Struthio camelus: one gene and its partners. The protein of the gene in region 1 purifies or fractionates together with the protein of each later gene. This does not show direct contact. Links are inferred from orthologs where the notes say so. Each region holds a gene or a part of one and is shown in the gene's direction. Other genes may lie near its edges.

Evidence for each region.
Region 2: the proteins of TGFBR1 (region 1) and USP15 purify together in Homo sapiens (affinity purification with western blotting; 4 studies listed by BioGRID). This does not show direct contact. The link is inferred for Struthio camelus from reciprocal best matches to the Homo sapiens genes TGFBR1 and USP15.
Region 3: the proteins of TGFBR1 (region 1) and ENG purify together in Homo sapiens (affinity purification with western blotting; 5 studies listed by BioGRID and IntAct, with this or other methods). This does not show direct contact. The link is inferred for Struthio camelus from reciprocal best matches to the Homo sapiens genes TGFBR1 and ENG.
Region 4: the proteins of TGFBR1 (region 1) and MAP3K7 purify together in Homo sapiens (affinity purification with western blotting; 3 studies listed by BioGRID). This does not show direct contact. The link is inferred for Struthio camelus from reciprocal best matches to the Homo sapiens genes TGFBR1 and MAP3K7.

Annotation. Positions count from the first base shown.
Region 1 is NC_090943.1:78,044,847-78,052,068, reverse strand, and holds the start of TGFBR1 (TGF-beta receptor type-1), read left to right. Parts: upstream 1-4,216; 5' UTR 4,217-4,477; coding exon 4,478-4,553; intron 4,554-5,181; exon of another isoform or gene 5,182-5,714; intron 5,715-7,222. UniProt on the Homo sapiens protein: Transmembrane serine/threonine kinase forming with the TGF-beta type II serine/threonine kinase receptor, TGFBR2, the non-promiscuous receptor for the TGF-beta cytokines TGFB1, TGFB2 and TGFB3.
Region 2 is NC_090942.1:37,752,139-37,759,291, forward strand, and holds the start of USP15 (ubiquitin carboxyl-terminal hydrolase 15), read left to right. Parts: upstream 1-4,148; 5' UTR 4,149-4,547; coding exon 4,548-4,636; intron 4,637-7,153. UniProt on the Homo sapiens protein: Hydrolase that removes conjugated ubiquitin from target proteins and regulates various pathways such as the TGF-beta receptor signaling, NF-kappa-B and RNF41/NRDP1-PRKN pathways.
Region 3 is NC_090961.1:7,687,882-7,695,864, reverse strand, and holds the start of ENG (endoglin), read left to right. Parts: upstream 1-4,983; coding exon 4,984-5,110; intron 5,111-7,983. Other genes in the region: AK1 (adenylate kinase isoenzyme 1), read left to right, coding at 943-978, 1,343-1,506, 1,751-1,867, 2,008-2,199, 2,497-2,562. UniProt on the Homo sapiens protein: Vascular endothelium glycoprotein that plays an important role in the regulation of angiogenesis. Required for normal structure and integrity of adult vasculature. Regulates the migration of vascular endothelial cells.
Region 4 is NC_090944.1:50,781,603-50,789,390, reverse strand, and holds the start of MAP3K7 (mitogen-activated protein kinase kinase kinase 7), read left to right. Parts: upstream 1-4,777; 5' UTR 4,778-4,844; coding exon 4,845-4,934; intron 4,935-7,788. UniProt on the Homo sapiens protein: Serine/threonine kinase which acts as an essential component of the MAP kinase signal transduction pathway. Plays an important role in the cascades of cellular responses evoked by changes in the environment.

The DNA of each region.
Region 1 (7,222 bases):
TCTTTAAATCCATTCATATCTGATTTCAAATGAGGTTGAATGCTGTATGTGTAGGAAACAAGCTTTGAGGCTAATGGACTCTAGAAGCTAGAAAGAAAGATTATGTTTGAGAGGTTTAATAGCTGCAGAGCAAAACTGTCATTACAGCAATCTGCTTAATTGCAGACTAAGAACTTACAACACTAATATATCCACAAACCTCTTAGCAGTAGAATAAGGAGCTTGTTAGCTGCAGGGACCAAACAGCTGCGCAGCGAGGTGGCGTATTGCTGGGCTGCCCAATTAATACCTCTGAGATACCTCTGTCGGATGTGTTTCACAGACTATAAATTAAAAGGAAAAAGGTTTCATATGACTTAAGGTTTAACTGACCTTCTGTTAATTAAGATCCTCCTGTATTTTGTTTTTGAGGCACTGATAAGGTAAATCAGGCACTGCTTATAAATGATATGAATTGAATAATTCTAGATATTTTATAAACCAGTGACTTCAACAAATTATTTTCTTTTGCCTTTTTATGATTTAGTAGCATCACAGATCTGTGCTAAACTTCCTGATTTGTGTGCTCGTAGAAAAGGCATGATAATGAACACCTTAGTCCCTTCTGTCCTGACTTGAGTAAAACTGATCAGCAAAATCAAGCACCACCTGAAATTTTTATTTTTGAAAATGACGTATTCTGTTAGTTTGGTAAATGACACATTTGGTATTTTTCTCTTGCCGAGTTCCCTGATGAACATAATTTGTAAATATCATGATACACTGACTAGTAGTTAAAAAAGCACATAAAATTTCACTTATTATCACGGAGAGAAAACTGTGATAAGAATTCTACAAATGCAGCTTTGCAATATTTGTACTTCCTCTTGCACTAGGACTAACTGTGCATATTTATCGCTGAAAGATAGTTTCATTATATTACTGTTCAGATGTTTTCAGAATTCTTTGCTTTATTAGCCTAAATATCTCTTACATTGAAACACAAATAGAGCTTTTACTGATCATCATTAATAATATTTCCTACCTTACGGCCATAATCTTTCACTTTAAAAGCTAAGAGAGATTTTATTTATTAGTGCCTGTGTTCTTAAGTAAATCAGCATATAAAACAAGGAATTTCATATCCTTGATCTTAATTGAAGACTAAAAATTTATGAGAAAATTTTATGTTTTGTATAATTATCTATCTCATCATTTGTCCCTTTGCAAAATTGGTTATACTTTAATGATCCATGTAGTTTCTTAGTAGGTGTTTTTCTTGCACTACAGAGTTTTGTTTGAACCCTCCATGCAGTCTGCAGTGTTTTGCTTTCCATCTTCTAGAAAGCAATCATAAAACCCACTCAAAAACTGACAATAATTATTACAAGAAATAAAGCTAGCACTAAGCAAACCTCAATTCTTTCATCTCCCTCCCTGTGGGAGCTGCATATTTTATATAATGCCTCTAAATGCCATATTCCAGTTCAGAAATTAGTAATGAACCTGTGTTTAAACTGCAGATATTCCCTGTAAAATAGCCCGCTCTACCTAATCAAAAAAGTAAATATTTTTTTAAATAGACTCAGTCTTTTTTAATGATCTAAACAGATCTCATAAGGCCAGATAATTTGGATTTTCTATGTTTTTTTGCATTGTGTTCTATGCATTAGCAAATGATGAAATTTTTTGCGCCTTTCTATAACCAGAATGGGGGAAATTCAATGAATTATGACATAAATAAGGCGAGGTGATATGACTGCTTCTTGCTTGTTCTTCTTAATATCTTTCCACTGATTACAACGTTGTTTCCATTCTCAGGAAGCACCTGGAGAACAAAGATGGGCTAAAGTAGACAAGAAGTGGTCTGAAGGATTCCCTTGCAAGACAATGCTGCAGCACAAACACTTACTGTACCTGGTTAAAGTATCATAAATACACAAAGGTGAGGAGTTGCTTTCTATCAGACTTGAAAAATTTGTTCAGTGAAATCAATCTTTTTCATGTTATTTTGGCAGAAAAAGGCCAAGCAGTTACCGTCGTTTTGAAAAATATGAAATTGCAGAAGAGCTATTTTCTTCTTGAATAAAATATCATTTTACACAAGGGCATATCTTGGAGGCCGTTTGCTGTGTCAGATTTCCTTACGTTGAAAGGGTGTTAAATTATCCTCTCAATTTGGGAATGAGCTTTTTCAGTCTGTAGGAAAACTGAACTGGGGTAAGCAATGAATTTGGGAAGTCCAATTGTTAAGGCCAGCACTAGGGGAGCAGGAAACTCCAAGTACATTAATCGTAAGCAGAATGTTGGGAGCTCCTTTTTTCCTAATTAAAGGCTCAAGCTGATGAGAAGCTAGTAATGGCAATGTCTGAGGTTGGAACCGAGCTGAGCACAACTTGCAGGGTGCCATGGTGAGGATCTGAGTTCTGTAGCATAATGTCAGTTTTGCCTCAGATCTGCTGTAAGCCAGTGTCTTAAGAGACACCCAAGCACAGCCTTCACTATTTTGTCCTTTGGATTGAAACTTTTTCATTGTTCCATTTTCGCAAGGAGTATGCTATGTGAATATCTAAAACACGAGCTAGCCTCATCTGCCTAACTAGCATATTTAAGGATGAATGTAACCAGGTATGTTCATAAGTTCTCCTGATTTTCTGTGGATCGGCATTCGACTGTTTGCAGATACAGGGGGAAAAAGCTGACGACTTAAATCTTCTCAGGCTGTCATTTGTATTTCATTTTTTTTCTTCATCCAACTGCTCTGTCTTATATAGCAAAGAAGACAGATTCACTATCAAACAGATTATCAAACATAATCTACTACGCCACACAGAAGGCAATGCTAAGCACCCCTCACGTGACCCTCATAAAGACAGAGTCCTCCAGTCCTGCATGGAGCAGAAGTACGGCAGGTGAGGCAAGGCATGATTCCCAGAAGAGCCCCGAGAAGCTCTTCGAGGACCTTTGCAGTTGCTGTTTTTGCCCTGAGTTTACCCTGGCTCCCAAGATCACAGATATGCACCCAGGGATCGGGATAAGGGATGGCAGAACTGTAGGTGTCTCTTCAATAGGGATCTTCTGTTCTGAAAGAATGGTGATGCCTGGTAAAAGTATTTAGTTTGTGCTGGCACTTTTCACTGCTTGCAAGAGACTTGAAACCATCTTGGCTGGTGAGCTGTCACCTGCGAGTTACTTTATTCTTTCTTTGTCTGGCAGCCAAACATCGTTCAGGATGCTATCTTACTGTCTTACTGATGCTAGAATATCATTTCACTTGAGGATTAGGCCTTTACGTATTTCTATACCTGAATAACTAAGAATGTGTTCACTTGGTATTGCCAACTTCAATATTTAATTATGGCATGAATCTGTATCAAATCCAGATGTTTGGTCTAATACTAACTGTCGCTAAGGATATTTAAAGTAAAATAGTATTTTGCTCAGCAAAAAAAAAAAATGTCACTAGAGGCTGTTCATATACGATGCTGATGGTTGCTAGGAGAGAAGGTGGAAAAGAATGAATTAATAAATATTTACCTCATTTTGAACCGTTATATTAACAGGATCCTTATGCAGATGAGAGAATGTAAGAGAAATGAGACTTTTTATAAAGGTTGTGTCAGCTAAACAACCGCAGATAAAACAGCCGGTAAATCAGCGTGACAAGGAGGCGAAAGGCAGCGCCGGGGAGGACGGTGGCAGCCGCCCTGGGCGCTGCGGACTGGGAAGCCGCAGTCCGGTGGAGGCCAGGCCTGAACTCCTGGGGCGGCGCGCGAAGCTTGCGAAAACTTGCTGAAAATGCGTCAAAAAGGGTGACTTGCAGGTAACACGTGGAAAAAAAAAAAAAAAAACACCTGTGGGCGACATGTCACCTGCCCTACGACTGGAGGGCCACGGCGCAAGGAAGCCCAGCAACAAAAGCAGTCCCGAAGCGCAGGCGGGCCCCGCAGGCCTCTGGCTGAGGCCCTGGTAAAGGAGGCAGGGGGCTGCGGGGACCCCGGGGCGGGTGGGCCACCCGGCCGCGGCAGGGGGCCAGAGCGCCCGTCCTCTGGCCCTGCCACACGCCCGAAACCCAAAAAGGTGCGGGGGAGGGGGGGGAATGTGTGAAGGTAACCGTGGGGCCTGGGGGGCGCCGGCCTCCCCCACGCCAGGATCCTCGCTGTGTCGCACAGGCCGCCGCGGGGGAGAGGGGGGGGGAATGCCCCAGGCCCCGCCCCTCGCCCCGCCCCTCGCGCTCCTCGGCTGCTGTTGTTGTTCGGGCGCCCGGCAGCTGCCGGCGGGGCGGGGCGGGGCGGGGCTGTCGGGAGCGGCCAATCAGGCGGAGCCCCTGTGTCGGTTGCACGAGCGGCCGCGGCCAGGCGGGGAGGTGCAGGCGGTGCGCGCGCTTCTCTCCGTTTCTGTCGCGGGGGGCGGGGCGGGGCGGGAGTCGCGAGGCGGAATCCTGGCGCGCGGGTGCGCGCGCGCGCGCGCCCTCGCTCTGCGGGTTCGGGACCGGACCATGGCGTTAACGGCCACTCGGCGGCCCTGGGCCCTGCGGTGCCTGGTGGCCGCGCTGCTCTTCCCCGCGGCGGCCGGTGAGTGCATGTGTGCGCGCGGGGAGGCCGAGGAGGGGGGAAGCGCGGGAGGTGGCGCCGGCGGGGCGGAGAGCGGCGGTGGTCTGCGGGTCCCCGTCGGTTCCTTTCAACAATATGGCGGAGGGGCCGGTTGGGGCGGAGTCGCCCCCTCTGCACCCCCCCCCCCCACCCCGCCCGGTGTCCGAGCCGGGCAGAGCCCGGGGACGGCGCGTCCCTTTGTTGGCCGAGGGCAGCGGCGGCTCCGAGGGAGGGCGGGGCCGCGGCTCGGGGCAGACGTGATGCGGCGGGGCGAGGAGAGGCGGCGGCGGTTCGCGCTGAGGGGGCGGCGAGGGACGGACGAGGCACCCGCCGCGGCCTCGGGAGAGCAGCCTCTGCCCCGCGCCGGCGCCTGCCTTGCCCCGCGGAGAGCAGCGCCCCGAGCGGCGTCTCCCCGGGACAGCCTGCCCCCTCACCCCCCACCCCGGCCGGCTTCCGCGCTGGCTCCGCTCCCTGTGGCGGACCCCGGCCGCCCCTTCCCCCCCAGGGGGCGAGCCGCTGTGGCCCGCCAAGGTAGCGCGGAGCGCACCCCTCCCTCCCTTGAGGTCACTGCTGTTTTGTGGCTGGAGCGGAGCAGACTGTACAAACTAACCGCTTGGGGATGGTGTCTCCTTCGGAAAACTTCTGTCTGCCTGTGGCTCCCTCAGCGGGCGAGGGGAAAGCTGCTGGGCCTGGCGGGCTCCTCGCGGCGTGTTAGCGGGCGCTCGCAGGCGGTACGGCGGGGAGGGCGCCGAGAGAGCAGTGCGGGCAGCTAGCTACGTGTTGAACGCTCCGCGCAGGGCAGGGGAAAGGCTCTCCCACGTCCCGGGCTGGATGCTTTAGGGAAGCTAACGCGCCTTGTGGCGTGCTGCCGCTGTGCCAGTTCTGAGAACTGGTGACGATTTGGGTAGGTGATCTCGGTGTTGTAGTTGAACAGCTGACCGCTGTGCTCCGAGAGGCCCAGAACACGGGGAAATGGTCTTAAGTGAGTATCGTGCATAAAATACTTATGGCCCTCTGGCCACTCCACACCTATTGCTCTCTTGTAAGAGAGAGATGATATCAGAGCTGTACCGTTGGATAGGTAACGCATGAAACGGAGGTTGTTAATGACACTCAGGAATGAAAAACTAAAGTGATTTTTTTAAAAAAAAGCATATTTTGTTCTTCACTTAGCAGTAGGGTCATATGTGGTAATGAGACTTAAATGATACATAATGCCTTACTTTAACTGATTTAGGTTTCAACATCTTCTGTATATATTAGATGATGCCAATAGATGTACAAAAGCTGTTTTTTATAGCAAGTGCCACTCTTACAAATTCTTCTATAGGTGGCATGCCTATTGCTCTGGGTTTTAAAGAGGAGAAGGAGATGTACTCTGACTTTTTTCAACTATAGCTTTAAGACATGCCTCAATCTGGTTCTTACTATGCTGCTTACGTTTCACTTTAAGTTAGTAATTGTGCTGCAAAGAAAATGTTACCTAAGGCAAAATGTAACTTGCAATACTAAAATACCATATTAATCGCCCATATCCTTATTGAAGAAGATGGAGAATTTTTGAAATGGAAGCAGTGAAGTAAGCTTAAATTACTGTGTATACACTTGAAAAGATGCATCAGCCTTCAATAATTTAAAGCTTTCAATATTAAATTTAGATATTGAGGGAAACTTTACCTTGATTTGAGCTCTGAGCCTTTCTTTTCCTGTTTAATGCCTTTGAACAATCGAGAATTTTCATTTAATTTCAGTTATGAAAGCAGTGTCTAAGAGTTTTATTTGGGAACAAGACCAGATTTCCAAGGCTAAAATAATTTTCCATAGAGAAGCTAAAGGATGGAAGTGGTGTGTGGGTGTGGTGCTCTTCCCCCCCCCCCCCCCGCTGCCTTCTTAATATCCCCATTATTATAGTCTGGGATCCTTAGTCCTTAGCTCATAGACAAGTTCTCTGAAATTGGGAATGGGATTATTTTCCCTGAACGTTGTGGTCCAAGTTGACAAAGTAGTGGTGCAACACATCCTTTGTGTACTGTTACTTAGTGTTCTTATCGTGGGTTGACAGAAGTTGGGCGTTTTCTGATAATTTCTGATGCTAGCATTAGTGCAGGAATGAATCCTCTCATGATATCACTAATGTGGAGGTCAGAAATGTCGCAGATCACAGCAGCTAGTTGAACTACTGTCAGCCAGCCCTAACTTTTAAGGCAGAGTGTGATTTTTGCGCGTGTGTGTGTAGGGGTTGGGGGGTTAACTGTTGTGAACCATAAATAGTCTTTCATCTTGCCAAAATTCTGGGAGGTCACCCTCTGGAAATCCTATATGTTCACACAATTCATTCTTATTTATGATAATGAGTGAACCTGATTTGTATGCTTAAGTCAATTTAAAAGTACAGAGTTCTTCATTTTACTTTTTTCACAAAGATGGTGAAATTACAACAAAGGGGAAGATCTAGGTTTCTAATTCTAACTTTTTTTTTGTTTTTCTAAAACATACTCTTCCATGAAAAGCACCAGAAACAAATTTTTAACATTGTATTTTGCTGTAGAGGCATGAGCACAATTCTGAGTTGCAAAAATAGATAGTGCCATTCGGCACCTACACTACAAAGAACATAACATTACTTTTTCTAAGCTAGGATCGTTCCAAAT
Region 2 (7,153 bases), on another chromosome or scaffold:
AAACAAATAAAAAGAATACTTCCCACTATTTAAAAATTCTGAACTAGAATAATGGGAAAATACTAGTGTTTCTTCTACTGTCATTATATCAGAAAAACTTCTGGGACACCCTTAGTTGGTCCCACTGGACTTTTCTTTATCTTCATTCCCCTATATTCTCATCTACGAACTTTCCAATTTAATTCTTCTAAGGATGCTATGGTACTAGATTAAGTGCATGAAGATAAGACTGAATACTCCATGTTACATGAATTAAAAAAATAATAGTCACATCTCCATCAGTCTAAACCCTTGTTCTCTCATTTGAAAAAATCCTTTTGGTAATAATAGCTACTGAAAACGTGGTAAGAAAGTAATAGTTTGAGTAAATCAACTAAATAAAGAACTATCAAATTTTAAAATCTGGGGGCATTTTCTTGTCTCAAGGAAAGATAGTGTGCTATTGCAATAACAGCTAGAAATTGCAATTCCACCTAACTCATACAAGGATTTAGCATTGTTGCATTCAGCCTATGTGAATTAGGAAAGCATTAACCAAGCATAGAGTGGATTAGGATAAATACTATTCAAAAACTAGAATGCAGTCTTGGTTTTACTGTCTGGACAGAAATGGGTATCTTAATTACAAATTATTTCCCCACATTCTGTCTTTCAAATTTATCCCACTCTTCTTTATTCCTTAAAAAAAAAAAAAGCATATTCTCATCTGCTTCTTACCATCGGTCCATCCATGCTACCGTGGATTTCCGCAGGTTTCATAAGTACTGATTTTTTGTTCCCATGTCTAAGTTTGCCTTGTAAGTGCCCTGCTGTATCTTCCCATTATATAACTCCAGTCTCTTGTGATTTCTGCTTTCTTGTTTTGTTATTGAACTACTTCAAAGAAGCTTATAATTTTATCATTATTTTAAGGCAACTCCCATACATCCCAAAAAAGTAAGACATGGAACAAAAAGAGCAACGGTGGGAACTGATAATTGATAATCTTTCACTCCCCTTTAAACATGTAAAAACACATTAAGCTAGTAAGATTAGCTTTAAAAGAGTTTCCATCAGATTTGTCACCCAAAAGTGAAATTACCAGTGTTTTCTTGCCTATATGTGTGAATGCTATATGTAAAACATGTATCCATCTGTATTCATGCTGGTATGTCGGGCTTCATGTCTGACTCAGCTTCAAACTGAATAGGAAATTCACAGAGCCACGCTAGCTGTAACCCTACCATAGGGCCGGGGTGTTTGCCAGGCCTTTGGGGAAGGGAACCTGAAACCCTATTTTTCTCCTCCATAAACTCACAACTACGCTGTAGGAGGTTTAGGAAGAAAAGAAAAAAGTGGAGAAGTAAATTGGTCTACAGTACCTCCGAGGTGAGACTTACAGTTGTCGGTCACTTCCACAGAATCTACTGCGTACACAAGCTTTCCCAGTGAGAAGCAGAGATGCTCATATCCCAAAAGAAGAAGCCGTAAGTTTCTTTATCCGAGTCCACTAACTGACTTGAAGACAAGAACGGAGAGCGTAAACTTTGTGCTGTATTGGGAATCAATAGACTCCTCAGCTTACATGGTTTGTTATCTGAAGCCCGTTTGCCGAATGTCTGAGCAGCTACATATTGGATTAATTGTTTCCCTTTTTTTTAGGATCAATGTTTAGAAAAACAATGCAACATGTTTACAAGTATTCATCAGATAGCAATGAAATCAGGTAACAATGCAGGCCCAATGATTACTGGAAAGTCAGCCACGTTTCTCGCCTAGATTAACAGTATCCTGAATTCAATTATATCAAAATTAGTAAGATGTAAATCTATATCACAAAAGCTTGTTTTTCATCAGAGAAGGCAGGAGGCAGTTCATCAGTATCAGTGCTGTTTCAGTGTATCCAGTGGTTTAAAATGCAAAGATCCCCAGGCACTCTCTAGGGTAGATGTACTTGGAAACTCAGAAAGCTTTACTAAAAATACAGATTTAACACTCTCTGGCAGTTTTCAAGAATTTTGCATAGCGGAAAGGTTTCCTGAAGCTTAGGAAGATTATATGCTGTTTTAGTGTGAAAGGCATAGCTACTTCTTGTGAAGCACTGACAATCCCAGAAGGAGACTTAGTTATTCTTGTCTCTCCTTTACAATCCTTAAGCAAAGCTCTGATTCAGATAGCACATTATACTCCTTTCTGTCTAGTTCCTTTAATACCTAGTATCTGTCTAGTATCTGTTTCTGAACCATGAACAAACTGAATTCAGGAACAGGAGATCTTTCACCTAGTAACTGCAATCATGAAACCCAAAAAGTAGAGGCACACGTGGCTCCAAGAGCCAAGTGGCTCTTGGTCTTATTACAGACTACTGAACAATAAAGCTGTTTTCCAGCATAGTGAATCAAGAAATGTTTTCCTCCAATTTTCCAAGAAAATGCAATTTTTGCAAAAATTTAACATTGGTACATACGGATGATTTTCACTGTTTATAATACTGGTTTTAGTTGTCAAGACTGGATGGGGGGCGAGGGGGGGGGAGGGGGCTCACAAATTCTTCCTCCCACGTTGTGAGGTTCTAACCCTGACATTTATTCATTCAATGGCTGGAAACCTTCTTGTCATTGCCCGGTTCACTCTTCCGTCTCATTAAGCATAGCCAGCAGATCCACAGTTCTCCATATAATACAACTCTCCACATAACAGATATCTTTGACTCGCTTGCCCCTCAGCCTGGGATTGCATATTCCATGCTTACAGAAGCTATGAATGTGATCGGCTGGCCCCTCCAAGCTCTTAGGAGCTCTTCTTCTACTTTGGACATGACTTCCATGTGCCCTTTCCAAATACAAATCCTGGCTTTGCCTTTATTTCAACATCATCGTCTTTGCTGATAATGCAGGCAATTTACTTAGTTTGGTACTCTCCTGGCTGCATTTAATAGCCTTAATTCTATTCTCTTTTTTGATGTATCTGTATCTAAAGAATAATCTTCAGTGCTATTTATAACAACTACATGCTATTAGCTCATTAGTGACAATTAGCTAATAGCTAATAATGCCTAATAGCTTATAATATGAGTGGCAGCCTATGATACCTTTCTAGTGTTAGTCATACAATTCAGCACAGTGTAATGATTTGGGTGGAGGAAGGGGCTGGACATACAATTGCATGTTTTATAGATATACCAGATAGATCTACAAAATCAAATTTTGTTTTCCGCTGTTTGCAATCAGCACTTGCCACCCCCCCAGCACAGTCTTCTATACAATTTTGATTTGGTGAAATCTGTATACAAGTAGGAAGGTAGAAAGGGGAGAATTCTGCTAATGTGATGTAACCCATGGACTCACGCAGCTTTTGGTCGGATATCGTATGTCCCGTTGCGCTGCTTGTACAAGCATCAGGTTTTGGCAAGACGGAAACAGACCCAGTAAATTATCCCTTGGTTTCTGTACAGGTTTGGGAATATTCATGCATGTCACACAGCATATTTACACTCCCAACAGTGTTTGCACAATAATAGAGACTGTATCATTGGCGGAATCCAAATCACTCATTTGCTAGCTAGGTGTCCAACATCTCATTATATCTCTGTTTAAATTAAAACGCTAACAGGAAGCGTCACACTAGTTCTTCCTTCCAAAAGTATGGTCTCCACCAAAACCCTCCTTCAGACCCATTTTGAAATATGGTCTCCCAAGGCTGAAACGGGAACGGGAAGGACGCGGACGCCACAACCAGCACGCTGCTGCACCAGCACCACTGCGGCACCAAGCGGACGCCCCGCGCCCGCGCAAGCCCCGCGGGGCAGCGCCGAGGGGCGGGGCCTGCGGGAGAGCCGAGCGGAGGGGGCGGGGCCTGCGGGGAACCGGGCGGAGGGGGCGGGGCCCGCGGGGGAACCGGGCGGAGGGGGCGGGGCCTGCGGGGGAGCCGGGCGGAGGGGGCGGGGCCTGCGGGGGAGCCGGGCGGAGGGGGCGGGGCCCGGGGGTACAGGGCGGAGGGGGTGGGGCCTGCGGGGGAGCCGGGCGGAGGGGGCGGGGCCGGGCGAGCGGGCAGGGCTCAACGCCAGGCAGGGAGCCAGGCTTTCGGTCGGGGTCGTTCCCCTCCCCCCTCCCGTCAGGCTATAGCCGTGCTGAGTCATCGTCCCACGGCCCCGGGCTCCCCTCCCCTCCGCTCCGAGGAGGACCTGCCTGAGAGGACAGAAGCGGCGGGAGCCGGCAGCGGCCCCGTCCCGCCGAGCGCCCTGGCTCCCCACGCCCCCTGCCACCCTGCGGCGGGGGGGGGAGGGAGAGAGACAGAGAGAGAGAGGGGGGGGGGAGGCTGCGCGCATGCGCGCTGCTTGCCGCGCGGTGACATGAGAGACCTCCCGGCCGCTAGGGGGGCAGCAAAGGCCGCGGCAGCAGCGGCTGCGGCGGGTTCGGCTCCCCGCCCTGCGGATTGTGGGAAGGGAGGGGGGGGCGAGGGCGTCTCCCTGGTCGGCGTCACTCCCAGCATGCAGCGCGGCCCGCTCCTGCCCCTGCTGCTGCCGCTGCCGCCGCCGCCGCTGCTGCTGCTGCTGCCGGGGGGAGAAGATGGCGGAGGGAGGCGCGGCGGATCTGGAGACCCAGCGCACGGACATCGCGGCGCTGCTCAAAACCGCCCTCCGCAAGGGCGACACCTGGTGAGGGAAGGGCCGGGGGACCCGAATGGATGGACGCGGGCGGCTCCCTCCGCCCCCGGTGCCGCCGGACTGGCGGAGGGACCGACCTCCTTCCCTCCGCGCTGGCCGCGGCCCGGCCTCCTGCGTGCTCCGTGGGAGGCGGATGACAGGGCGGGGGGAAGGAGGGGGCAGCACCTCCCTCCCGGCCGGGGGCAGGCGCCGAGGTCGGCTCCTTGGCGGCGCCGAGCGGCGGGGGAGGGAAGAGCAGGGAGCGGCGGTGCCGGAGCCGGATGGCGGCCGAGGACAATGAGGGGCCCGGGGGCCGCGGGGCGCCTGCTCGGCCTCGCGGGGAGAAAGGCGGCGGGAGGAGCGCTCCGCTGCCGGGCGGTTCTGCCGTCCGCCAGGCTAAAGGGAGGAAACGGCTCTGGCGTCACCTTCCGAGTTGCCAAGAATCATATCTATAGCGTAGGGGTGTCGCGGTGAAGCCCGTGCTCGGCTGCGGTAGGCCTCAATTGGAAACTTCATTTTCACTGTGGCCGTGTTAACTGCATAAAAGAAGCCTTCCCCGAAGGTGCCGCCAGGCCCCTAGGAACGCGTGTTCTGCAGCAAGCATCTAAAAATATATGTTTTTTTGACCAGTGACAAAATATTTCTTAGTATGCCATGCGGATTGCCAACAGAATAATCCGTGGTTGAAAAGCATTAGGCAGGTTAAACGAGCATCTCTTTCTAGATGTGCTTGGTTAATTGAGCTTCTGTGATTGAGTTCTTTGAGGCTAGGAAGCAATTTTTTTTTTTTTAAGACAACAGAAAAAGGAACTGATGTTTTTTCCACCGCTCAACCTCTTCATCTTTTCCCTTGTGAAATGATCACCTAAATACAAAGGCTAAAACACAAACTTACAGAAAATTAAGTTACAAATACACAAAAGTAGAACTTGCCCACCTCATTTCAGCTGTCATCACTCACTGTTCCAGTTCTATAAAAGACTATATTTAACAGTGTTGATACTGCAGCATGTGTCAGAGCCATACATATATTCTGATGCATTATTCAAGTACTGCCGAGTATACGTTCACTTTTTGGCATAAGAACAGGCTGCTCTTAAACTGAGAAGTATAAGCAACTAGAAAAAGGAAATCAATTCACATGGTGATGTTGAAAATGACCAGTGGTAGTACAAGGCTGCTTGGACTTGAAATGTTTTATTTTAAGAGATTTTTCTTTTATGAGTCTGTTGGGTACTTTCCAAGTACTGAAAGATTTCTCAAATGGTTAATATTATTCAAAATGAAAATAACTTTATGACTGTTTACATAACGACTAAAAACAGTAGGTTTCTTGAGCTACATTTTTAGTACATTAAACATTTTAACATATGTAAAAATCAAATATACTCGTTTGGAAGCTTATTTCCCCAATTAAGTATATTTAGTATATTTGTATTAAGTATATTTAGCTGTGATTGTTGTCTAATATTAATCTCATATTCTAATATTAATTGGATGTTTTAAGGCTGAAAAAGCTATGATAAAGTCTTAATAACTTTGACTCTTCCCCTAGTAAATCTAGAAACAAAAATGTGTGTACATGTTCATTCGTAGGGTAGTACTTAGAGCTATGTATTTAAGATTTCACAAGTTGAAGAATATATTTAGTCCAGATATGTTATTCAGAGATGTTTTGGTAATAGCTTTTTGATTTTGAGGGGATGGGGTCAATAAGGAAATGTAATAGTTAAAGCACTGTAAGTCATGATTCAAAATTGCAGTTTCATTCATTCAGTAGTTAGTATTGCTGAAAAAGAATGTGAACAATGATATATAACAATTCAATGAGCAGCTTGTTTTGATTGGGCCTTAAAGCACTGTATGTAAAATACAATCCTTCTAAGATTAGCAGCTTGTACTGAAAGTTTTGTCTCAGTTATTCAGAATTTAGAGTTTAGAGGAAAGCAATAAGCTATATAAAGAAAGTATCAAGCTTTGGGGTTTTCCATTAGTAAAAGAGAAAACCGAAGAATAGGACAAAGAGAGGCAAATCGTTTATTATCTGTAATGAGGACAATGAACTCTTCATTAGTTCTTCACGTTCGCTGCAGAGAGCAGGAAATGAAGCTAACTTTAAATGCAACATTTTTAAAGTTAGATGTTAGCTAAGAATTGGTAGAATAGTGAAACAGTTGTACAATTGATTAAGCTGCAGAATTTGTTTCATAGGGTGTTTGTAAGAATAGCTTGGGCGTAGTAGAGATGAAAAAGTATTGCCCCAATGGATGGGCAAGGTGAGTGTCCTTTGACTATTTTGTCCTCGGAGACAAGATTTTGGGCTAGTTCATCTGGAGTGGCCTTTACTGCATTTTTAAACTCCTATTGTTATAGACAGTTAATAAATTAAAAGGTTGAAGTAGGAGAGACTGAGGATTCTTCCATCTCACCCTTTTTCTTCTAAACAGGTATGTTAATTAAACATCAAAATTAAGCTTTTCCAGGGCACAACCTTACTAGTACTAGTGAATTCAACATTATAAACCATAC
Region 3 (7,983 bases), on another chromosome or scaffold:
GGTGGGGGACGCCGGCGGTGGAGAACTCCAGTGGTTGGGGACTCCGGCAGTGGGCTGCTCCAGTGGTGGGATGCTGTGGTGGTGGGGTGCTCCAGTGGTGCTCCATTGGTGGGCTGCTCCGGCGGTGGGGTGTTCCGGCGGTGGGATGTTCCGGCGGTGGGGTGTTCCGGCGGTGGGGTGTTCCGGCGGTGGGATGTTCCGGCGGTGGGGTGTTCTGGCGGTGGGGTGTTCCGGCGGTGGGATGTTCCGGCAGTGGGGTGTTCCGGCGGTGGGGTGTTCTGGCGGCGGGGTGTTCCAGCATTGAGGTGCTCTGGCGGTGTGGTGCTCCAGCGGTGGGGGACTCCAGCAGTGGGCTGCTCTGGTGGTGGGCTGCTCTGGCAGTGGGATGCTGTGCCAGTGGGGTGCTCCAGCAGCAGGGGCAGGGCTGTTAGTGCTCCCCATCCCGTCCCCATCCACGTATGCGCCACCAGGCCCGCAGGCCAATTTTTAGGACACTCAGGGATCAGGGAGGCGCTGGAGGCAGCGTGCCAGCTCGTGCCGTGCCGTGCCGAGCCGAGCGGGCCGCAGCCCCGGGCAGGGCGGCCTCGGAAAGCCCTTGGCACGAAGCCGCCACCGGCAACCATCTCCAGGGCACCGCGCGCCCCGGCGCCGGCGGGATTCCACCTCGGCTCGGCCGCCGGGAGCGCCGCCGGGGCCGGGGCCGCAGGCCGGGTGCCATGGGGGCCGCGTGCTCGTGCTTGGGCAGCTCGGCTGCTCAGGCTGGCCGAGGTGACGGGGACGAGAGGGGCGCGCGGGTGCTTCCCGCCGCGCTTTCTCCCACGGCGGGTTGGGGCCGGCCCCACCATGCCGGGGGGCGCCTGCCGGGGGGTTCAGCAGCTCACTCGCCGCCGTCCAGGCTTCTGCTTGGCTGAGTCTGGTTTTTTCTATTTTCTTTTCCCCCAGAAAAACTCAAGCATCACAAAATCATCTTCGTGGTGGGTAAGTAAGTCGGCCGCTGCGGGGAGCGAGGCCGACTGCAGAGCCCCATTCTCCCGCGCCTCGCCGGGGCAATTTCGGGGCCCAGGGGAGCAGCCGGCTTTGCAGGACGTGCTTGAAAATTTGGGACCTGTAGAAACCACCGGCTGCCTCCGGGGCAGCTGCAGCACTCCCAGCTCGGCTCCTCGGGGTGACAGCGGCTGGGACGCCATGGGGTGGGGACACTCCGGGTGCCAGTGTGGGGCTTGGGGACCTCATCTCACTGGCTGCCAGATGCTCCCTGTGGGTCTGCAGTGCTTTTTGGGCCCCCCCCCCAGCTCTTTCCCCCTGGGCTGGGATGTGAACGGGGCCCTGCTGTGACTTGCAGGCGGCCCCGGCTCAGGGAAGGGGACCCAGTGCGAGAAGATCGTGCAGAAGTATGGATACACCCACCTCTCCACCGGAGACCTGCTGCGCGCTGAGGTCAGCTCCGGCTCCGAGCGGGGCAAGAAGCTGAAGGCCATCATGGAGAAAGGCGAGCTGGTGCCCCTGGTGAGCCTGCGCGCCGGAGGAGCCCGCCGGGACACCCCGAACCGCAGGGGCGGGCACTGGTGGTGGGAGTGCTGGTCAGGGGGGACCGTGGTGATGCCGGTGATGGTCAGCATGTGTCCAGGGGAGGCCTTGGTCCCCCGCCACCCCAGAGCCCTGGGCTAGCAGCCGGGATCAGGGGGTGCCGGGTGATGGGGAGCGGATACATCACCCCCTCACCTCTTGTCCCCTCCTCCCCGGCTCCCAGGAGACGGTGCTGGACATGCTGCGGGACGCCATGGTGGCCAAAGCGGATGTGTCCAAGGGCTTCCTGATCGACGGCTACCCCCGCGAGGTGAAGCAAGGACAGGAGTTCGAGAAGAAGGTGAGGGGCTGGGGACGGGCCCTGCTTGCGGAGACACCACCGCAGACCCGCGCGGAGGGAGATGCAGGACAGGCTGGGGACATCCATGCCCACATCCCAGCCGCCTCCCCTGGTGACAGCTGCGTCCTCCCCGCCCGTAGATCGCCGCCCCGACGCTGCTGCTCTACGTGGACGCGGGGAAGGAGACGATGGTCAAGCGGTTGCTGAAGCGGGGCGAGACCAGCGGCCGGGTGGATGACAATGAGGAGACCATCAAGAAGCGCCTGGAGACGTACTACAAGGCCACGGAACCCGTCATCGCCTTCTACAAGAGCAGGGGCATCGTCCGCCAGGTGAGCGGGGCCCGGGGTGCCGTGGCGGGGACGGGACCCCTCGTCACCCCACAGCTGGGCTCCCCACCTCCTTTAGGTGGTCCCCCACTGCCATGTGCCCCTTGACCAGGGCCAGCAGCATCCCGGCGCCAAGACATCCTTCGGGAGATGTCCGTGCCGCCCCGTTGCCTTAACTATGCCCTAGCTGTCCCTAAGCTGAAATGTGTCCCCAAAAGAGCCACCTCCTCCGTGGGAGGCTCCCGGGGGGCCGGGCGCCGAGGCGTCCCCGAGCCTGACACTGCTGTCCCGCTCGCGCAGCTCAACGCCGAGGGCACCGTGGAGGAGGTTTTCCAGCAGGTCTGCTCCCACCTGGACGCCCTGTAGGCGAGCCCCGGGGCCAGGCTCGCCGCGCCGGCCCGGCCCGCCGCCCCACACGCGCACGCACTCCGGCTCCGCGGCAGAGACAGCGGAAGCGGCTTTATCCTGTTTTCGTGGACAGAGCCGCGCGGAGGAAATTTCAAGGACATTGTGTTTGGCTCTTTCCCGTCTCTCCCCAGTAAAGTTCACTTTAATGAGCCCAGACTTTATCTTTTTTCTTCTGCCGCAGGAAATGAGTTTTTCTTTCCAGAAATTTTTTTATCCCCCCCCCTTCCCTCCGCACACCCCTTTCTGAGGCTGATTAAGGGCAGGAAACGGGCTGTTTATCCCGCCCGGTGGCATCGCGGCCGGGGGGAGCGGGATGCTGCGCTCGGAGGAAGGGAGGGGAGCATCCCGGCTGCATCGGCCGAGCCCCGGGGCTGCGGGGGGCCCGCGGCCGCCTCCTTGCAGCCAAACCCCCTCGCCGAGACCCGTCCCGCTGCCGGGGCTGAGGGAGCCAGGTTCAGGCCAATGCCACGGGCTGTGGCCGGGCGTCCCGGGTGCCCCAGCGTGTGCCAGCCCCCCCTCCACCCCGCTGCTCCCGGGGACGGGGACGGGGATTTCCACCACTTTCAACACTGCTGGCTCCAGCCCGCGCCTCGGCCTCGACACTCCCTTGCATCGTGCTGTCGGGAGCTTTTTAGGGGAACCGGGGCTGTGCTCTGGGTGCCCTGACCCACGGAGAGAGTTCGGGGGGGGCCGACGTGGGAGACGGAGGGGGCGTTTCGGTCGCGGGCTGTCGGCCGCATCAGGGTGCAATGCCGGTGGCGCGGCTGCAGCAGGGCTCCGGGGCCAGGGGGTTTGCCCGGATGCTCTGCCGGCAGGCGGTTTTCCCGGACGCGGCGCGGGGCTGCTGCCTGCCAGGTTACGGCGAGGGCAGGAGGCGGCAGAGCCGTGACCTCGGCCTGCCCCTGGCACCGCTCGCTTTCGGGCTGCTGTAAATCAGGCGACGAGCAAAGCGAAGGTCAGGAGAAAGGAGGCTGTTTGGAGGCAGCCGAAGCTGCTGAGACGGTGTCGAGGAAGGAAACGAGTGGGGGGGCAAAAAAAAATAAAAGTCATAAAGTTAAAAACGAGCCCCGTCAGGCTCGTACAGCGGCCGGGGGGGCGAAGGAGCCTGGCTCGAAACGGGGACGGCCACAGGGCCACCACGAGCAAGGGGGTTTGAGGGGGGGCCCACCGCAGGCTGGGCCATGGGGAGCGACCCCTCTCCCTTGCGCCTCCATCCCGTTTTTGTGGCCTCGGGCCAGGCGCGAGCGTGCCTCAGTTTCCCAAGTGAGCGAGCGGGGATGGAGCTGCCGGGCGCTGGGGCCGGGAGAGGGGGCAGCAGGCACCCCGGCCCCAGCAGCCTTCGGCTGGTCACCGGCCCCGGCTGAGCACCCGTCCCCGCGGTCCCCAGGAGATGGCAGTGCTCTGTCACGGGAGACATCTGCCTGCTCACCTCACCGTCGGGGACACGTCCCAGGGGACATCCCGCCAGGCCGGGACAGGCCTTGCCGTCCATCTCCCAGAGGGGCGGCTGGGGATGGAGCGAAGCAGGGGCTGCACCGGGTCCCTCGTCGGGGGGCAGCTCCGGAGGGGCTCAAGCCTGGCTGCCCAGCACCGTCCCCCTCCTCGCCAGGCGCATGGGGAGTGGGGTGGTGACAGTCCCCATCCTGCCCGAGCCCCCAGGCCGGCCCTGAGCTGCATGTGGGGCTGCATTTTGGGGGGGGGGGGGGGGAGCATCCTGCCAGGCAGGTGGGTGCCCCTGCCCGTCTGCAGAGCCGGCCGCGCTCGGAGGTCCCCGGGGGGGTCTCGCCGGGTGCCCCGGGGTCCTCGCAGCCGCTCAGCGCTGCCCCGCACCAGCACCCGCAAGTATGGGGAAACTGAGGCACGGCGCTTGGGCCCCCCCCCGGCTGGGGTTGGGGGGAGGGGGGTCCCATCGGGCAACACACCCCCTCCCACCCCAAAATCCATAGGAGACAGCCAGCGCATCCGGCGGGGCAGCACCCCCGGGGGCAGCGCAGCCCTCGGCTGCCCGCCGGCCCTCCCCGACCTCCCGGCAAGGCTCCAGGCCGCTGCGAAGCGGCATTTCCTCCCCGCTCTTGGCAGGCGCTCGGCTCGGCGGACCCTCCTCTAAAGGGAGTTGATTTCCTGCCGCCGCAGGTCATCAGCCCGAGCGCGGCGCCGGGCTCGCACACTCGGGCGCTGCCGCGGCTTCCCCGGCGCGGCCCGGCCCCACCGCCGGCCCCGGCCCGCCACCGCCGCCACCGGGCGCCGTCGAGGCTGGAGCGGCGAAAGCTGCCCGGCTGCCTCCGCCTGCGCCTCCCCGGCCCGCCGCCGAGCCCCGCCGGCCAGCCCTCGGCCCCTCCGGACACGGGCTAAGGGCAGCGCAGCGCCCGGGCAGGCAGCATGGGCGCCCCGAGGCGCCGCGTCGCCCCGCTGCCGCCGCCGCCGCCGCTGCCGCCGCCGCCGCTGCTGCCGCTGCTGCCGCCGCTGCTGCTGCTGCTGCTGCTGCGCTGCGCGCCCGGCCGCGCCGGTGAGTGCTGCCGCGGGCCGGGCCGGGGTGCTGCCGCCCGCCGTCGCCTGCCCCAGTGTGTCCTCGGGAACCCCCCACCCCGCTTCCCTGGGGTGCTGCCGCCGGGGTGGCTTGGCTGGGGGCGCTCCCGGCCAACCCCCCCATGCCCCCTCGCACCCCCCCCGCCGCCACCGGGCCGATTCGGCCCATACCCCCCCACCCCACCCCACCCCACCCCACCCCGCGGTGGGTGCGAGGTCGCGGGCGAGCAGGGCCTCCGCGAGGTCCCGGCGTTTCGGGGACTGCTCGGGAAATCTGTGCCGCCGAGAGCCGGAGTCGCGCGGCGGAAACGGCGCTGTACCACGCCGGGAATAGGAGGGAGGCAGGCAGAAAGCGGCCAGCGCGGTGCCCCCCGGCCCCCCCGGCCCCCTGTCCCCACCGCAGGGCCGCGGCGAAACGGGGAATGGCAACCCGGGAAGCCGCCCTCGCCGCTCCGCCTCGCCGGCGAACGGCGACGCTCGGGCCACGTCCCAGCTGCGTTTCGTCACGCTAGGAAAAATAAACCCCGCTCCGGCTGCAAATTCGTGCTGGCCCTGCCGCGGGGGAGCTGCCGGCCCCGGGAGACCCGGGAGGGGAGACGGCGCCCAGGCGCGGGCTGCGTCGGCGGGCGTCGAGGTGCCGCCGCCGCCGCAGCCGCCTCGCCGAGCGCGGAGGCACCGGGGCGCCTTCGTGACCTGCCCGGCACCGCAAGGCGGGCGCCGAAAGCGGGAGCCGAGGGAGGAGGAGTGATCTGGAAACCCCCGTGGTTGCAGGCGGCCGTAGGGCTGGGGGCTTTTCCGCCCTCTTAGCAAGCGGCTGGGGCAGAGCCAAAGCCCCCCGCGGTGCGCCCCGGTCCCACGACCCCGGTGGCGGCGCGGGGCGGGGGACGGGGTGGCAGTGCCCCCGCCGGCGGGCAGGGAGTGCGGGGCCGGCGGTGGGAAGGGAGCAGCAGCCGGGGCCGGCGGGAGCAGCGTCCCCGGCACGGCGAGCTCCCTCGGGGGGCCGGGCGCCGGGCTGGGGTCGGGCCCCGGCTGTGACATCCCCGCTGCCCTGCTCAGCCCGCTGTCCCTGCCGGCTGCAAGCCCCAGGAAGGGCCAATTGTCGGCCCATAGCAGGGCCATACGGCCCCTGTCCCACGTAGCTGTGCCGCACGGGCCCCACCATACGTAGCTGTGCCATGCAACCCCATCCTATGTAGTTCTGCTGTAAAGTCCTTGTCCTACGTGGCTGTGCCATATGGTCCCTGTCCTACCTAGCAGGGCCATACAGTCCTTGTCCTACGTAGCTGTGCCGTGTGGTCCCTGTCCTACATAGCTGGGCCATACGGTCCTTGTCGTACATAGCTGGGCCATACGGTCCTTGTCCTACGTATCTGTGCCGTGTAGTCCCTGTCCTACATAGCTGGGCCATACAGTCCTTGTCCTACGTAGCTGTGCCGTGTGGTCCCTGTCCTATGTAGCTGTGCTGTGTGGTCCCTGTCCTACATAGCTGGGCCATACGGTCCCTGTCCTATGTATCTGTGCCATATGATCCTTGTCCTACGTAGCTGGGCCATGCAGTTCCTGTCCTACGTAGCTGGGCTGTGTGGTCCTTGTCCTATGTAGCTGGGCCATACAGTCCTTGTCCTATGTAGCTGGGCCATGCAGTCCCTGTCCTACGTAGCTGGGCCATGCAGTCCCTGTCCTACGTAGCTGGGCCATGCAGTCCCTGTCCTATGTAGCTGGGCCATGTGGTCCCTGTCCTATGTAGCTGTGCTGTGTGGTCCCTGTCCTACGTAGCAGGGCCATACAGTCCTTGTCCTACGTAGCTGGGCCATACGGTCCCTGTCCTACGTAGCTGTGCCGTGTGGTCCCTGTCCTATGTAGCTGTGCTCATGGTCACTGTCCTATGTAGCTGGGCCATACGGTCCTTGTCCTATGTAGCTGTGCCATATGGTCCCTGTCCTACGTAGCTGGGCCATACGATCCTTGTCCTACGTAGCTGTGCCATATGGTCCCTGTCGTACATAGCTGGGCCATATGGTCCTTGTCCTACGTAGCTGTGCCGTGTGGTCCCTGTCCTACATAGCTGGGCCATACAGTCCCTGTCCTATGTAGCTGGGCCGTACGGTCCTTGTCCTATGTAGCTGTTCCGTATGGTCCCTGTCCTATGTAGCTGGGCCGTACGGTCCTTGTCCTATGTAGCTGTTCCGTATGGTCCCTGTCCTATGTAGCTGGGCCGTACGGTCCTTGTCCTATGTAGCTGTTCCGTATGGTCCCTGTCCTATGTAGCTGGGCCGTACGGTCCTTGTCCTATGTAGCTGTTCCGTATGGTCCCTGTCCTACGTAGCTGGGCCATACAGTCCTTGTCCTACATAGCTGGGCCATACGGTCCTTGTCCTATGTAGCTGTGCCGTGTGGTCCCTGTGCTATGTAGCTGTGCCATATGGTCTCTGTCCTACGTAGCTGGGCCATGCAGTCCCTGTCCTACATAGTGGGGCCATATGGTCCTTGTCCTATGTAGCTGTGCCGTGTGGTCCCTGTGCTATGTAGCTGTGCCATATGGTCTCTGTCCTACGTAGCTGGGCCATGCAGTCCCTGTCCTACATAGTGGGGCCATATGGTCCTTGTCCTACGTAGCTGTGCCGTGTGGTCCCTGTCCTATGTAGCTGCGCTGTGCGGTCACTGTCCTAGGTAGCTGGGCCATGCAGTCCCTGTAGTCCCTATGTAGTCGTGCCCCATCCTACATAGCTGTGCCTACTGACCCTGTCCTACGTAGCTTTGCCATATGGGCCCTGTCCTATGTGGCTGTGCCATGCAGTCCCTATCCTATGCAGCTGGGCCATACAAGTGCCTATGCTACATAACAGAGCCATA
Region 4 (7,788 bases), on another chromosome or scaffold:
CAGCACGTATGTAGATGCCTCAATCACTTTGCACCTTTCTTAAATATTTTTGCTCTTTTAGAGTTACCTGATAACATTTTTGCCTTTCTTTAAAATATTTCCTGCTGGAACATTCGCAAATCACGTCTTTCCAAACTCTCAGGTGACAATCAGCTAGTCTGCTGCTGTCTGGCTCTCCCTTCTGTCTGTGTGTGTTAAATTCTTTAATCAGTTAGCATATCTTTTTCCCATTAACCACTCAGTCAGTCAGCCCATTCCAGTTGCTGCCTGTTGCCAGCTGCAACTGGGGAAAATTCTGAATTTAGTTTTGCGACCGCATCTAGATCATCTTTCACCTTTACTTTGCCCTTCCTGCACAATGGCTGTACTCTCTTGGGGTTTTAAGCTGCTGGAAAACTTTGAGAGATCTAACATGCCTCAGAGTAAGAGACCAAGCAAGGTTCAGAAAAACCTGTGACCATCTGAGTGCCAGTAACTTTCACACGAAAGAGCTTCCTCTTAAGTGCATATAGTTCCTTGCATACAGTAATATTTGGTATTTAGCAAAGCAGTCCATGCATTTACTTTGCAAGGCTTTGGTGTTTTTCAATAGTTACATTTTGTGGTAAACGATAAGCATACCTCAACTGAAGGAATTTGAAGAAACTCACAGCTTTTTAGAAAATTTTACAGAGTGTGGGGAAGCTTCCTCAGAAAGGAAAAGAAGGAATAAGAAAATATGAAGCGTATTGTGGATGCTATCTCCATGGATTCAGCACAAAATACCTCTGTGCTGCTTTGCAACAGTTTGCAATGCAGTAAAGCAAGGCAGAATTGGTGATACGATTAAGATTCATAGTCAAATTTGACACGCACAAAATGTTGCAACCTGCTCCTGAGAAATCCTAACATAAGAGCTGAAGAGACTACATGAGGAGAGTGGATTAGCTAAGAACACCACCATGCTGAACAACAGAAGAACTTTTAGTGTCATCAGAGTGATCTGTCCTCGTGAGATCCTTACACTGCACCTGGACTGGAACAAGAAGTGTGCTTCTTTCAGGTCTCTCCCGATTGGTTTTGTACGGCACACATGCTTTATGGTGTGCCATTTATTTGTCATCACCAGAGACATGCTGTGGCCTCATACTCACAAGGCAATGCACAACACAGTTCATCCACCAGTCCTTGTCACTCCAGTCATCCAGGCTAATTCCCCCCCCCCCCGTTAACTCCTGCAGATTTTCTTTGTATAGCGTGCATCCTGACACTTTCCAACACACAGGTGAGACAAGGCTAATAACTCACAATCACATCTACAGCTGTTGTAAAGGTCTTTAATCACACTTGATTCCCATGAACTGAAATGACATAGCTTCCATATTTCAGTTTCATTTATCTCTAACATTTACATGACAATATTTGAGAAAGAAAATAAAGTCAGTCTTGCCAGAAACATGAACTATTCCTGTGCCTGAAGTTAAAAATGTTATCAAAACGGAACCTATCTCATTACAGGTATGCCCGCTGTTGAGACCACCCAACACCTTCCACTACTGCGTTCCAGGATCATTTTTCTGTTGCCTAAACTTAGATGTTTTAACCAACTGAACAAAAATTGTGTACGCTACATGTCTGACACAAGGTGAAATCTTTTGAAAGCAGAAATTACTTAGCTGTTTTGCTAAATTACGTTAGCACAAAACATGCTAGTTTGCTCTTCTTAAAAAAAAAAAAAAATCTATAACGTGGAAATTTTAACAGAGCTGGAACATGAAACCTGACAGCGGGTAGCCATGAAAATACAGATGTGTTTCTCCTCATGAAAATGTGACCGAACACTAAGCTGCAAGATTCTGTAAACTTTGTTTAAATTTTAGATAAGATACTCAGATGTTAAGGCTAAGCCTCAGGTCCATTAAGCTGGCCATGTAGACTTACTTTATATTTTTTAGGAGACCTACTGCATATCTTCTGAAAAATATAGTTCTTAAACCTGGTCCACGATGACAGGAGCTGTCAAAATATCTGCTGCAGTTATTTCAGTCTTGAGCATTTACTTCTGCTCTGACCATAGTATCCTGAGACTTCACAGAATCTTTTAGTCCTTAACTTCCTTGTAATGTAATTTATTTTCAGTTAGTGATATGCAGTTGAGAAATAGAATCTGGACTTCCTAAGTTCTAGGTTTTTCTTCCAAACACAAGAGCAGCTTTTCTCCCACATAAACACAGATTGTAAGGGATGCAGTTGGAGTGTTTTTGTTTTCCTTTACCTCTCAAATGTGTTTTTTGAATACATATTTAAAATGTTCTATTTTGGGAGCGTTCAAATTATACCTAGTCCTCAGACCCAACACACAGCTAATTAAGATTGTGTCAGTCAGAAAAGAAAAAGAAGTAACCATAAAAACGGCAACATCCTTGAAACCCTATCTGATCTTCACAACAGTGACATTTTGATAATGGCAATGATTTTGCTTTCGCTAGAGAGAGAACTCATTATTTTTGAGATACATTTCTACATCAATTCCTGAAAGGAAATGAACCTTACAAACAACTATAATTGGAATGCTCTCCTCTGTGCTCTTAATTCTTATCAACAACAACAAAATACAGGTAACAGCACCACTGTTAATAGCACCACTAAAATATAGAAGACAGCAACCGCCACTTGCTTGATATATGTCTTCAAGAGGCCTGTGAAACATAACATAAAGCCAAATGTTCAGTTAATTTTACTAGAGAACACCACCTGCCACCAAAAGTACCACTACTACTAGCCATCTTTCCAAAAAACATTAACGTTCTTCACCTTCCCCAGTATATAACATACGTGCCTAAATCTAAAAAAAAGCCTGAAAATGTTAGGAACTAATTAGGAACTAACATTAGGAACTAACTAGGTCTAAATGTTAGGAATCTGTTTTCAATCTGACCTACAGTTTCCCAGTACCTCACAAATCTATATTCGTGATCTAAAAACAAATATATTGTTTCCTCAGCACCTGAAACAGTGGCAGCAGATTATACAACAGTGATGTGCTTTTCCTTTAAGAAGGAAATACCCTGAAGTCCTCAGGTCCAGGTACAAACCTGGCCACTTGTGATTCCATGTCATGGTATGGCCACGATGTGCACTAACGGTGACTTTCACGGCCACGAAATTCAACTGTACACTTGGGTATAGCAAATGTTCATTCTGAATAATCCAGAGACTACGTATTTGGGCGAAAGCCATGGCCAACATCAATATCTAAATTAAATGCAACCTCTTAGAAACTAAGGCCCCTGGATAGTCGCATTCCTGGAGCAAGCATGTATTAAGGAGATTTTGGGTTACGCGGAACTTTCCCATTTCTAACAGAAGCCTCTTTAAATCTTTCTACACTGAACAACATACGAAAAATCAAAAAGCAAGAGGAATTCAGTACGTTCAGGACACGAGTCTGCTCCCATGCACACACAGATCAGTTGCACAACGTAATCACGCTGATCCAACCTGTTCTGGAGACTAGTCTCATCTTGCATGCGATGCAGAGTCGGCTGGCATATGCACCGTGACTGTTTGTCTGGGATTTCTGGATTGCTAGACGTTTGGAAATCCTGGTCAAATTACTTAGGATGCAAGAAAAAGGCAAGCGGGCAGCAGACAACCCAAAAGGACAAGCTATCACAAAAAAAAAAAAAAAAAAAAAGCAGTAGCTCTGGCGAAAAGGGCTTTTAGTTTAGCTTTTCTAGCAACACCCGAACCACCACGACGCGAGGCTGCTGCCCGTATTCCTCCTCGATCTTTCTCCTGGTTCATTGCTGACGCAACTTCTTCAGGCCAGCTCCGTAAAGCAGCTCTCTCTCGTTTACCAGACTTGGTATGAACATTCATTAGCATTTTAGTGCAGGAAGATTTGGGAAAGCTTACCAGATCTACTAAGATTACACACTATTAATAGTATTTTATAATAACATAACATTTTATATATAGTACTGGGGCTAAACATATCGGACGGAAGCCTGACGGCGCAGCTGTTTCAGTGCAACGCAGCGGCTCTCTCCACTGCCCCCCAGCACTGACTTCGCACCACGGGTTGTCCCCAAACACCCAGCCCCGGCCCATTTAGCACCAAGACCCAGAAAGCGTCGCCCAAGCCAAACGCACAAGCAGACACGGGCACTGGGGGGTAGGGAAGGGAAGGGCCTTAAGGTGGCCCGTCCGCTCCCAAAACAACCGCTGCGGGGCAAAGACCGAGGCCCGGCTCCGCCGCCGGCCGAGGGCCGCAAGACGAAGCGGCCGCCTCGCTGCGCGCTGCTGCCCTCGGCGGGGCGGAGCGGCGCCGAGGTGGGTGTCGCTGCCGCCGGGCCACGGCCCTCGCCGCGGCGGCCTGAGTAGCAGCCGCTGCCGCAGCGCCGCCCCGCCCCGGCCCGGCCCCGGCCCGGCCCGGCCCGCCGGCAGCAGCAGCAGGAAGCGGCGCTGATGTCGGCCGCGGCGCGGCGCTGAGCGGCTCCCCCACCCCCGCCCGCCGCCGCCGCCGCCGCCGCCGCCGGGGACGCGCAGCCCGGGCGACTCGCAGAGGCCGCGGCCTAGAGCAGCCGGCGCGGGATGCGGAGCGGGGCCGCCGCTGCCGCCGGCGGGGCCGCCGCCGCCCGCCGCCGCTGAGGCCCGCGGCCGCCGCGGATGCGGCCTCGCCCCGCTCGGCGGCCCAGGAGGCGCCTCGGCCCGGCCCGGCCCGGCCCGGCCCTCGGCCAGCAGCGGGCGGGCGGGCGGGAGGCGCCGGCGCGGCGGCGCCCCGTGTAGCCCCGCGGCGCGGCCCTGCCCTGCCGCGGCGCCCGCCGGCCTGCGCCCGGCCTGCCGCGGCCGAGCCAGGAGGGATGTCTTCTGCCGCCTCCGCGGACATGATCGAAACCCCGCCCGTCCTCAACTTCGAAGAAATCGACTACAAAGAGATCGAAGTGGAAGAGGTGAGTGAGCGAGGCCCGGCCCGGCCCGGCCCGGCGGCCGCGGCGCCTCCCCGCTCACCCACCCACCGAGCCACCTGCCCGGTGTTTTTCCTTCTCCTGGCGATGCTGCAGGGGCTGCCAGGGGCGGAGGTGCCGCGGAGCCTTAGTTCGGCCACGCGGGACACGGGGGCGAGGCGGTGTAACGTGGGGTTTTACTTACTCAGGAGGCTTTAATATGGGAGCAAACGCCGTTGTCACCGGGGGGGGGGGGGGTTTAATTCTGATTTTTTTTTTTCCCTTTTGAATCACTCTTTTTGTACTCCCCTTCTTTTTCCTTCTGCCATGCACCGGGAACGGTCATAGATCTAAAACCAGCATACTGCGGTTAATTATTTTCCTGCATCTAAGGCTATGTTAGGTGAAAGGACATATAGCTTTTTTTTTTTTTTAAATATAAGCTAGCGATGTGGCAGTGGTGGGTCTGTAACGTTTCATTTGTGACCTGCACATATTACACAGGAAGTGGCATTCAGTGGTCGTGTAGCAGAGTCTGAAGAAAGTATTCCTTCCTCTTATGTGGAAAGTTTCTTTGAGGCTAGCGTTGAATGAGTAAAGTACACCATTTCTAATGTACTTCTTGGCTGTCTGGATTTCCTGTGAGGGTAGGATGGAGGTGGTCAGAGCGTATCTTGCAGCTTTGTTAAAGGGCTCTGTACCTATACATCACGGTATTTATTAACTTTGTCTACCTCACAAGGTATTCTTACCAGGTGAGGAAAAACTCAACAGCAAGGTTTGCACTGCAGTAAAGTTGTTTCCCACAGGCCCATACTGAATTTGATGAGCTCGACTTGTAGAGTGTGGACATAACGAACATCCAAGACTGCTGAAACAGTCTTTGTGCTTTTGTTCTTAGGTTAACATCTTTGTCTCCCTCAGCAATAATTAACCTCCACTTTTTAAAAAACATTGCTGGGGAAGTGAATTTAGCTTTGTGCAGTAGCATTTAGATGTACAACAACCACATTATTGAAGCAGTTTGCAACGTATTGTATTGTTTATAATTATTGTGTTGTGCTCACACGGCCTTGAAGAGTTCACAGAACATAGACTTTGTAGTATTTCTGTAGAACGCTGGAGTACTTTCTGCTTTATTCAGATGCCGTCGTGGTAACTTCAGTTTTTAGCCACAGCAGACAGGGGAAATCCTCAGAAAATAAACTCTCTTCCAAAGGAGTGCCTTTTCCCCGTTGTGTAAACATGGCATTCATGATGGTTTTTAACTCTGTAGGTCCAACTGTTCCTCTTCCCTGTATGCATTTAACTGCTTTGAAGCAAGAGAATTTTATGGTGCTCCAGAACTGAAAGTATTTTTGCATTTGAGGTATACCGACGTTTGTATAACATTTAACAATACACAAGGATCACATCACATACTTTCGGAGAAATGGCTTGCTTTACCTGAAGAAGAAAATAAAGTTCATAGGAATTTAGAGATCATAAAAAGGTGCCCAGGGATGTCTCATAAAAGTGAGTAGCACATATAATATGTTACACATTGCACTTTGAACAAATGAAACACTATACAAATTTTTAATCCTCACAACACTCTTGGGAAGGCTGTTAGCAAGGATTATATTGCCGTTTTACTTGTAGGAAATGTGGAGCCACATAGTGTGTAATTGGTGTAACTAGAGTTTATCATTCTAAGGTTTAGGTTCTAAGGTTTCACAGTGCAGAACTTGACTGTGTCCTGCATGGCCACCAAGCACCCGCAGAGACAGGAACGTATGCACAAAAGCGTACGTGTAGTTGGTGCCCAAGCCATAATTTGTGTTTTTTTAATTAGATTGTTGCTTTATCCTCAAAGTAGCTTCTCTGCTGGAGATGGCCGCTCTTATGCAATAGAAGCTGGAGAGCTGTCGATAAAGTTTTACTTCATGAGAAAATTTGGCAGCTGCTGCACCATTTTGCTCTGTGTACCTGCCCTACCAGAAATTCTTACCAGGCAATGGCGATATGATTGTACTGAACGCAATCGAAACGTCATTGCACGGAGGAGGAAATAAGATCTACTTTGCAATAAAACAGGTGAACTGGAAACCGTGCTGTACCTTGCTTTTCTTGACTGTGGGTGTTAACCTCTTACGTGCCGTGCCTTTTGCAGGCCTACCAGACGTTGTAAATGAGGACTTGCTCTGCTCTTACGGCAGACCCAGAAATTTTATTTTTGAGTGGCTGCAAGGACTGAAAATGGCCAAATTTTAATATATTTTATGACACTTAGATATTTCAAAATGGAGTGTCAACGGATCTATACTGGAAACTCAAATGAGTGCTTGTATAATCATAGCTTTGCTGTTGTATTATCAAAGCAGTCTTGTCAGCAGATAGCAGTTCCACTCTGCCACTGGTTTATTAATAGATATTGAAGTTCTGGAATACTTGCAGGCCCTGAGTCCTTGCTAATAAATTTAAGATCCATAAGTGCACTTTCGTTTTGGTTTGGCTGAGCTCTGCTGGGTAATATCATGAATCTACCATATTCTGTTTGTGCTATCATGTGCATGACTATAATACAGGAAGTAGCACTGCAGGACAGTTATAAGTCAAGCATGTCTCCAACTTCAGGCTGCCTTTTCATTATTTAAAGTAAAGGTTGAAGTAAAACATAGAGATGATTATTACCAATCAGTCAGAGTCAAATCAAAATTATGTGACACAGTGGGAGCATGTTCAAAACTAGAAGGGGAAAGACAACTTAAAACTTGGGTTCAGCGAAACGTTCCCCACTGTACCATGCAAATTTTTGGTTGCGTGAATGTCGTCTTTTAGGTTTTCGTGTATTAGACAGACAAAGCATTAGAAACTGAGG